2 linked regions of the Arabidopsis thaliana genome follow. The protein of the gene in region 1 interacts with the protein of each later gene in a pairwise test. Each region holds a gene or a part of one and is shown on either strand. Other genes may lie near its edges. The genes, in order: ATPD and TIFY8.

What was found.
Region 2: the proteins of ATPD (region 1) and TIFY8 interact in binary tests that used the Arabidopsis thaliana proteins (3 or more experiments, as listed by UniProt).

Annotation. Positions count from the first base shown.
Region 1 is NC_003075.7:6,098,834-6,102,542, forward strand, and holds ATPD (F-type H+-transporting ATPase subunit delta), read left to right. Parts: upstream 1-1,880; 5' UTR 1,881-1,965; coding exon 1,966-2,670; 3' UTR 2,671-3,031; downstream 3,032-3,709. Other genes in the region: AT4G09649 (uncharacterized protein), read right to left, coding at 1,728-1,865. UniProt on the Arabidopsis thaliana protein: F(1)F(0) ATP synthase produces ATP from ADP in the presence of a proton or sodium gradient.
Region 2 is NC_003075.7:15,715,451-15,720,512, reverse strand, and holds TIFY8 (TIFY domain protein 8), read left to right. Parts: upstream 1-1,645; 5' UTR 1,646-1,810; coding exon 1,811-2,057; intron 2,058-2,750; coding exon 2,751-2,920; intron 2,921-3,012; coding exon 3,013-3,269; intron 3,270-3,347; coding exon 3,348-3,444; intron 3,445-3,556; coding exon 3,557-3,782; coding exon of another isoform or gene 3,783-3,847; intron 3,848-3,853; exon of another isoform or gene 3,854-3,991; coding exon 3,992-4,080; 3' UTR 4,081-4,281; downstream 4,282-5,062. Other genes in the region: AT4G32580 (Thioredoxin superfamily protein), read left to right, coding at 1-148, 223-297, 399-635; AT4G32560 (paramyosin-like protein), read right to left, coding at 4,478-4,540, 4,625-4,747, 4,856-4,936. UniProt on the Arabidopsis thaliana protein: Repressor of jasmonate responses.

The sequences.
Region 1 (3,709 bases):
TAGGATCTTCAAGAATCAGGATCTTCCTTAATCTACAAGCTTATCCCTTTTCCATATTTGACGAGAAGGAAATTCACCATATCTTCTCGACCGACATTCGTCTTTGATCACCATGCCAAGTCAGCAACTTTACTTGGCTTCTCACATCAACCGCTACATCCCTGCCACGTTAGCTCACACGTCCATATCAGTAGTCTCTGCCGTTTAGTGTGATCTGATGCAACTTCTTGATTTCCGACAGCTCCTTGATATCCATCAGCTCACTATTGTCAGAATCTACATCTTCAGAAATATGTTTAGATTTTTAATTAACTTAATCAGCACTAATACAAAAAAGCTATTCTCGAAAAAAAAAGAAGAGTTGATTAATCTTTTAAAAACTAAAAAGAGGGAATAAATTATAAAGCAGTTTCCCTTGTTGTGTGCTTGTAAAATTTTTTTTTTTCATAAAAAGGTATTAGTGTTGGTGGTAATGACAGAGTAATTTAGTAAACATATATTATTTTAAGATTAATTTATTAAAAAAATTATTGATTTAACAAAATATTTATGGAACTTAATTTTATCACTTTCTTAGAAAGTTTTTTGGACAGTCTTATCTCTTTATCATAACTCTTCGTTATGTATTTTGTCAATGATAAATATTTCTACCTTCATAAAAAATGTTTCAAATAATCATGTTTTTAATCATCATTCTTTTTTACATTTTTACTCCTTAAGTTTTTAGCAATCTTTAAAAAATATTTACAATATAACCTTAACACATGTAGATTTATGTAATAATTCAAATATTTGATATAACCTTAACACATGTAGATTTATGTAATAATTCAAATATCTGAATATATATATATATATATATATATATATAGTCAAAAATATTTTGGTTATTTAATACAAAAATAAAAAAAATTGTTAAAAATCATGAGTTCTCCCACGACATCGCGGGAGTCCATAACCTAGTATATAAAATCATTGAAAATCAGTTACAATCTCTTGTTATTCAATTTATAATATATGAAAATATTCAAAATCAAGTGCTCTTCAAAAATTAACAAGTATTTTGTTGAAAACATCGAAATTGTTGTAAACGATTAGGTTTTAAGGATTGTTTCTCTCTGTTATTGATCACATGCCCGGCTCAAACATGGCCTAGACTCAGTGCTACTATATCCAAAATCCTTAATGTGTATTAAAAAGAACAAAAAAAAAACTTAACATGTAAAAAAAAAAAATTGGGTCTTTGGATCCTATGCCCCAGCATCTCTGACACATGCTCTAAGCCGGCACTGATTGATCAATTGTACAAAATACGATATATATATATATATATATATATATATATTATATGGATACAACAGTAGATATTAAGTCTCCTAAAACCTACTAATGTGTCATATAATAGACATCCATAACATAAATTAATTTTAGAGATTTTTAACACTCGTTTAGTTGAAAAATAGGACTAATAAGAGGTATAATTTGAAGAGGTTTAAGAAAAAAAAAATGTTCACATAAAATATTGTAAGAAATAATATCTCATTATTGATCCTTTTATTATAGAAGATTTTAGTTTAGCAAAACTCTATTTTAGCAGAACACATAAAAGGAACAAGGATCAAATCCTTTATGTTATGGATATAACTAATATAAATTTGTGACATAAAAATTAGGATAACAAGAATGAAATCCTTTAAACTCAATAAGGAACACAGATATCACACCAATCAAACAACTCCACGTGTCGATTCCTCACTCCTTCTCAAACCACAGCCTAATCCTTCTGAAAACTCCACACAAGATAAACCTTCTAATCTCCACCGTCCATCTAACCACAATCCAAAATCTCCACCGTCCATTCTCATCTCCCCCAAAAAACCTTACCTTCTTCTTCTTCTTCCTCTCCTCTATCGTCTTCGAGAAACCACAAATCTCTCTTTCTCTCAAACTCTCTCAACAACAACAATGGCGTCTCTTCAACAAACTCTATTCTCTCTTCAATCCAAACTCCCACCATCCTCCTTCCAAATCGCCAGATCTCTCCCACTCCGAAAAACCTTCCCAATCCGAATCAACAACGGTGGAAACGCCGCCGGAGCAAGAATGTCAGCCACCGCAGCATCAAGCTACGCGATGGCATTAGCAGACGTCGCGAAAAGAAACGACACAATGGAATTAACAGTCACAGACATCGAGAAGCTCGAACAAGTCTTCTCAGATCCACAAGTACTAAACTTCTTCGCGAATCCAACAATCACCGTCGAGAAGAAACGTCAAGTCATCGACGACATAGTGAAATCGTCGTCTCTTCAATCTCACACATCTAACTTCCTCAACGTCCTCGTCGACGCGAATCGGATCAATATCGTGACGGAGATCGTTAAGGAGTTTGAGTTGGTTTACAATAAGCTAACGGATACACAATTGGCGGAGGTTAGGTCGGTGGTGAAATTGGAAGCGCCGCAATTAGCTCAGATTGCGAAACAGGTTCAGAAGTTAACCGGAGCTAAGAATGTTCGGGTTAAGACGGTTATTGATGCGAGTCTTGTGGCTGGTTTTACGATTCGGTATGGTGAATCCGGTTCGAAGCTTATTGATATGAGTGTGAAGAAACAGCTTGAAGATATTGCTTCTCAGCTTGAACTTGGTGAGATTCAATTAGCTACTTGAGATTTGGGAAAAATTGTATAAGAGAAAAATTTGAGAATCTTTTTTTTTTGTGCAAGTTTAATTTTTTTTCTCCTCATCTTCTTTCTCTATTAATCAATCATATAATATACAGTACTGATGATATAATAATGATTCTGAGTTTATTATCTTTGTAATTGTTAAATTTAGTGAATTCGAAAACGAATTCGAATAGTATGTTTGCGGATTATGCGTTTTGGGGAATGGTTTTACTGTTAAATTGCGGTTAATCTCGGTTGAATAGAGTAGTGGCAATGTCAACTTATTGCATTGATGAAGGAACATGAATGAAGAAGAACTTTGAACTGTTACATTGTGAAGAAAGTGTAAATCTATGTATGAATGTTTGGTTTGTTGATTGATGTTGGACTGGATTGGTAGGATATACGTGCAAGCCGAAATATGAAATTTATACAAATTTTGAGACCAAAACATTTTAATGATCTTATGAAAACACTAGAACCCCCATCTCACATACTTGTACGATCTACACCAACGATCTCTTTGATCTTGCATATACGGCAAGTCGGCAAACAATAACTCTTACCATACATTACAAAGGAGGTGTGATCATTTAGTTTTGGGGATTGCTTTGATTAGCCTGGGTAAAATACCCGAACCCGAAGAACCAAACCGAACTCAACCCGAAAAAACCTGATCCGAATCTAAACCTAAAATTTTAAAATACTCAAACAGATCTTAAACTTCAAAACCCGAACCCGAACCCATCCGAACCTGAACCCGATCAAATATCCGAACATATTCGAAATATATATATATATACATAGAAATAATTTATTAGTAAGAATCATTTTTACATCAACTTAAGTGTCTAAAATATTAGGATTTTAGGATATTTTGTATAGTTTTAGATATTTTACCTACTTTTCGATAGATTCGGATAAAAAATACTCGTTTAAGAATTTTTTGTGTATTTTCAAGTAATTTGAATTTATTTTGATACAAAATTTTGAATTTTGGATACTCCGAGTAAACCCAAATCTCAACCCAAAAAATCCGA
Region 2 (5,062 bases), 9.6 Mb from region 1:
CGTTTCAAAGGAGGAGCTTGATAACTTGCGCCACAGCGGAGCACCACTCGTGCTTCACTTCTGGGCTTCTTGGTGTGACGCTTCGAAGCAGATGGATCAAGTTTTCTCTCATCTCGCTACTGATTTCCCTCGTGCTCACTTCTTTAGGGTTCGTCGTCTCTGTTCGAATTTTATCTCTTTCAATTGGTTTTTGACTTTGATTGGTTTTATTTATCTTCTTAGGTAGAAGCTGAGGAACATCCTGAGATATCTGAGGCTTATTCTGTTGCTCTTGTGCCGTATTTCGTCTTCTTCAAGGTAAACTTTAGGCATATTGATTCTTTGTTTGGTTGCAATTTTTTGGCTTATTGACAAAGCTTGAATCTTTGTCACTGCACTGAATCCTTTTCTTATTGAAGGATGGCAAAACTGTGGATACACTTGAAGGGGCAGATCCATCAAGTTTAGCTAATAAAGTTGGCAAAGTTGCTGGTTCTATTACTCCTGCAAGCTTAGGGTTGGCTGCAGGGCCAACGATTCTTGAAACTGTTAAGAAGAATGCGAAAGCTTCTGGACAAGACCGAGCTCAGCCTGTATCTACCGCTGATGCTCTCAAGAATCGTTTGGAAAAACTCACCCTGTTATGTTATTCATGAATGGTACTCCTGAAGAGCCTCGATTTTTAATATCTATTGAGTACTTTCTTTATAGTTGGAATTCTTGTGGATATATATCAGGTAGCTACTTGGAGCAAACATGTTGCTAAAGTTGACCTGCTACTGTTGTTTGAAGAACACGTGCTATGTCTTGTCGTTGAAGGAATTATGTTCATATGGGAAGAACATAAGCCTACTGGAAAGTTTACCCCTAGCTCTATTGTTAACCCAGATACTTGAGCCTCCATATCACAAACATCTAGTTAAGGTTTGTGTAGTAAGAACAAGAAAAACAACACGTGTTCCCAATTCCCATATAAATGACCATTATACTTCTATCAACCCAATTAATCACAGTCCGGAGACTAGTTGATTAAAAAATCAGCTAATACTAATTTGGTGGTTTCAATAAACATCTTAAATACTCCATAATTAAACTAGATTAAAGTGGGAAAAATCGTCATGAGTAGTTGTAAAATCGATTTCATTTAAGAGTATAGAAATTCGTCATGAGTGGTTGGTTCATGAGTTCTCTCTCTTACTCATATTAGAGTAAGAAATCAAACACTTATAATCATTCAAAATTCAACAACTCTCATCTCAAAACCATATATTTAGGTAAAGTTATATGCATACATTTTGCATTTTAATTTTAAAACAGATTATTTGGCGCGTAATGATAAAATTATGTGTATAAAAATTATTTAACTAATCGATCTAACAACCACATATGAGTAAAGTAGTTAACATTGTACTACTACACCAAATTATAGTGTGTTGGTTAGATTAGATACACAAACTCACTTTCTCAAATCAATAACATTATGAATCTATGATAACCTTAATTTAAAAAGAGTCTATAATGCCATGATTTTACAATCGTACTTTTTTCTTTTGGGCTGAACTTTTAATCATATATTATTTGAAAGATGTGATTATTATAATATTAAAGGGAATTAAAATCATGTAAGAGAAACCCAATAAAGTAGCTTGAAGAAGAAAAAGACAAGCTTTATTATACACTTACCCAGAAAAACAAAAAACAAAAAACTGATAATATCTCTCTCTCTCTCTCTCGTTGAGTGTGTCCATGAAATAATACTCTGCCAGAGACAGAGAGAAAGACTGTAACGGAGGATGTGGTGGCGAAGTGGCCACACTGACACACTGGTTTCATGATGGTGAACCACAACAATGGCCAGCGACCCACTGATATTGATTCTCGTCTCCGACAGACAGAACAAGATAAGCTCTTGTTCCATGACTTTTTAGGCTCCAAGAATCCTACTTTAGCATCCACTTCCATGGCTGACCATAGGCTACCACCGGATAATAAGGCGGCTAAAGCGGCGATGACTCCTTCCACGGCTTCTGCTTCCTCCGCCGGTGGACTCGGCGGTCTCTCCTCAACCTCCGATCTCGGTTCTGCTCTGTCTCTCTATCTCTCTCTCCTGATGTTTTTGTTGTTGTTGACGTAGTGTGCTTACGCTGATGAGGTTTTGAGCTGATTCCTCTGTACATTTAGGGTTTCTATCTATAGAAAGTTCAACTTTTGTTACATAGATTCGATTTAAAGTTGGATTCTTTCTTTTCCCCCTAGTCTGGATTAACGATCGAGCTTTGATTCACCATGATTTGAAAATGTAAGAGATCATGTGAGTTAGTTTCAAATTTTTTAGTCAATTCATTTATGATTAGATCTCTTAAGTTGAAAATGGAACATCTTTGGGTTCATAAGGTTGAACAAAATGTGAATGTACATTGTCTTGTTTCATTTCTTGCCTCATTGCTTTTTTAGTTCGACAATTTAAGAAACATGAACATGGATTGTGTGTGGGCATGTGGTTGCTTGACCTCTTGTAGTGTTAAGGACTCTCCCTCTCTCTCTCTCTCTCTCTCTCTCTCTGCCCAACCATAATGCCCTCTGGTGGATTAGTTGGGACATTGAGAGTGAATTTGACTGATGAGTTTGGTGGGTCATAGCCATTTGAGGTTGTGATCCTTTTTTATATGAATTGGCCCTTCTTTATTGCCTCTCGTTTTCTCTCTCTATCTCCTTGAGTTCCCTCCCACAACAATCTTTAAGTTACTTATCCATATTTTATCATTGTTTAGTCGAAAGACACAGCGGCGGTGGGAATCATCTTGATGGGATACAATTGTTTGGACCAAGAAGTGATGTTTCTGGCTCAATCATGAGCAATCGGTTTTCAGGAAATAAGAGAAGTAACTCTGATTCTCACTTCACGACTCAGGAGCACCCAGAGACTCTGCATTGGTCCAAGGTAACTAAAAAAAAAACAGAACCTACACAACTTCACCATGGTCACAGCTACGTAGAACTCAGTTTCTGTAATATGTCATTGTCATAACCTAGTTGCTTAGAAACGGACCTGGAAGCTTCTCCATGAATGTGAATCCTTTGGCAAACCAGCCTCCACGCGGAGGAGGACAGATCAGTCATTTGCTTCATCAGCTGTCTACTAGCAGGTTCAAAGATGAGAACGTAGGCCCATCAGTTATTGCTCAGACAGCTGCTGATGAAGGTTCACGAACAGGGATGAAAGGTCCCGGTATCTTGAGTTCTTTTACAATGCCAAACTCAAGCAAGCTCGAAAGTTTTGCCCCTTCAAAGTCAGTTAGCTTCTAGTGTTTTGTGTCTCTGGTCTTTCGATACTCTTCGAGTCATTTCAATACACTTTGTATTTGCAGTACCGGAAATCGGAAAGACTTGGCGTCGAGTACTAAGCAAATGACCATCTTCTATGGCGGTCAAGCTCATGTCTTTGATGACGTTCACCCAAACAAGGTGATTCTCCCTAACACTTATACACTTGATATTCAAGTTATTTGACTACATTTTGATATCTAAAAAGGTAGAGAATTGAGAAGTTCATCTGATGAATGTTATTTTTTTGCAGGCGGATGTGATAATGGCCTTGGCAGGATCAAGCGGAGGCTCATGGTCTACGGGTTTGTCTCATAAACCGAAGTCGAAGAACAACACAAGTGACGGTCCATACAAGCTAGGCCAAATGTATGAAGGAGGCAGCTCTAAGGAAACACCACAAATGCCCCCGGAATTTCGTGCAAGGCCGAGTCATCAACCTACCTCCAGTGCCTGTCACCGGATCTTTACACAACCAGGTGACTTCTTTTTAAAGAAAACCAGATTTCAGCAGAAATTTTGGTTAGCTTCTTACAAATACTGAGTGGAGTAGAGTAATCAGGTCTTATTTTGCATTGTGACATAATAAAATGAGGATACAACAGTAAAGAGTTATCAACTGTTCTGGGTTTTATCAACTTGAATCTGTTTGAGGAGCCATAAAACCATGTACATGTATGATTTGCAGGTAGAGAGCATCAAGGAAGCATCATCTCAAGGGGACGAGATATCAGAGATCCGGTTCACAGATCAGATCCTGAAAAAGAAGCCACATGATTAAAGTCTGAATATGAGAGACGATGAGTGTGGCTGTTCTTCTAAGTTGTTGTTTTTTTTGTTTTTTTTTTGTTTTTGGTCAACTTCTTCTAAGTTGTTATTTGTTGACTTGATAGCTTTGTACAATGCTCTGTACCTTTCTAGGTTTGTATTCAAACTCATCTCCTCAATGATTTAGAGAATAATATTTTCTCATAGCTCATATATAAACATATTGGTCAACCAAACCTACTATTTCTAGGCCTATCGATTTTCGTATATTTCCATGTAAGGCTGAGCATATGGATACATCACATCACAAGAGAATCATATCTAAATCAACTCTGGCTCTACTCTGGTTAGCTGTAACTCGAAAGGAGAGTCACTTCATATCACCTTATTCAAACCCTTCTTCGAGTCAGAGGTGTTCGTTCATGGCAGATATATGACTTCTCAGCCTCTCATTCTTAGTACATTCCTCCTGCCATTGAGAAATTTAGCACTACGTAAGTAGATGACTCTCGGGCTTTTCAGTATAAACACTTATTTCCTATCTTGTGCTAACCTGGTATGCTCTTAGTACAGTGTAGCATTTTCTTTGCTCTGCAGCTGCAGCTATATACTTTTCTTTTGAAGCATCACGGAGCCTCTGCTCTTCTTGAAGCCCAAGTTGTATTTTTCCAATCTTCTGCACTTTAAACATTTTGTTATGACAAATCATACAGCTATAGATAGGTAAGATGGGTTAGTTCATGCTTTGTGCCTCAAATACCTGATTCAATATAACTCAGATTACCTGTTGGATTCCTTTCATGACTCCTTCCATTGAATCAATAAGCTTCACACGGCCAGCAGGAGTACCAATCACGTCTTGAAACTACAATCAAGTCAACGGAATTATGGTGAAACTTTGACTCACCAAGAGATATACTAAAAGGGGAAAGCAGAGACGTAAATCAACTTAGTAATGAACATAAGCTATTCTCAACGATATAAGTACATG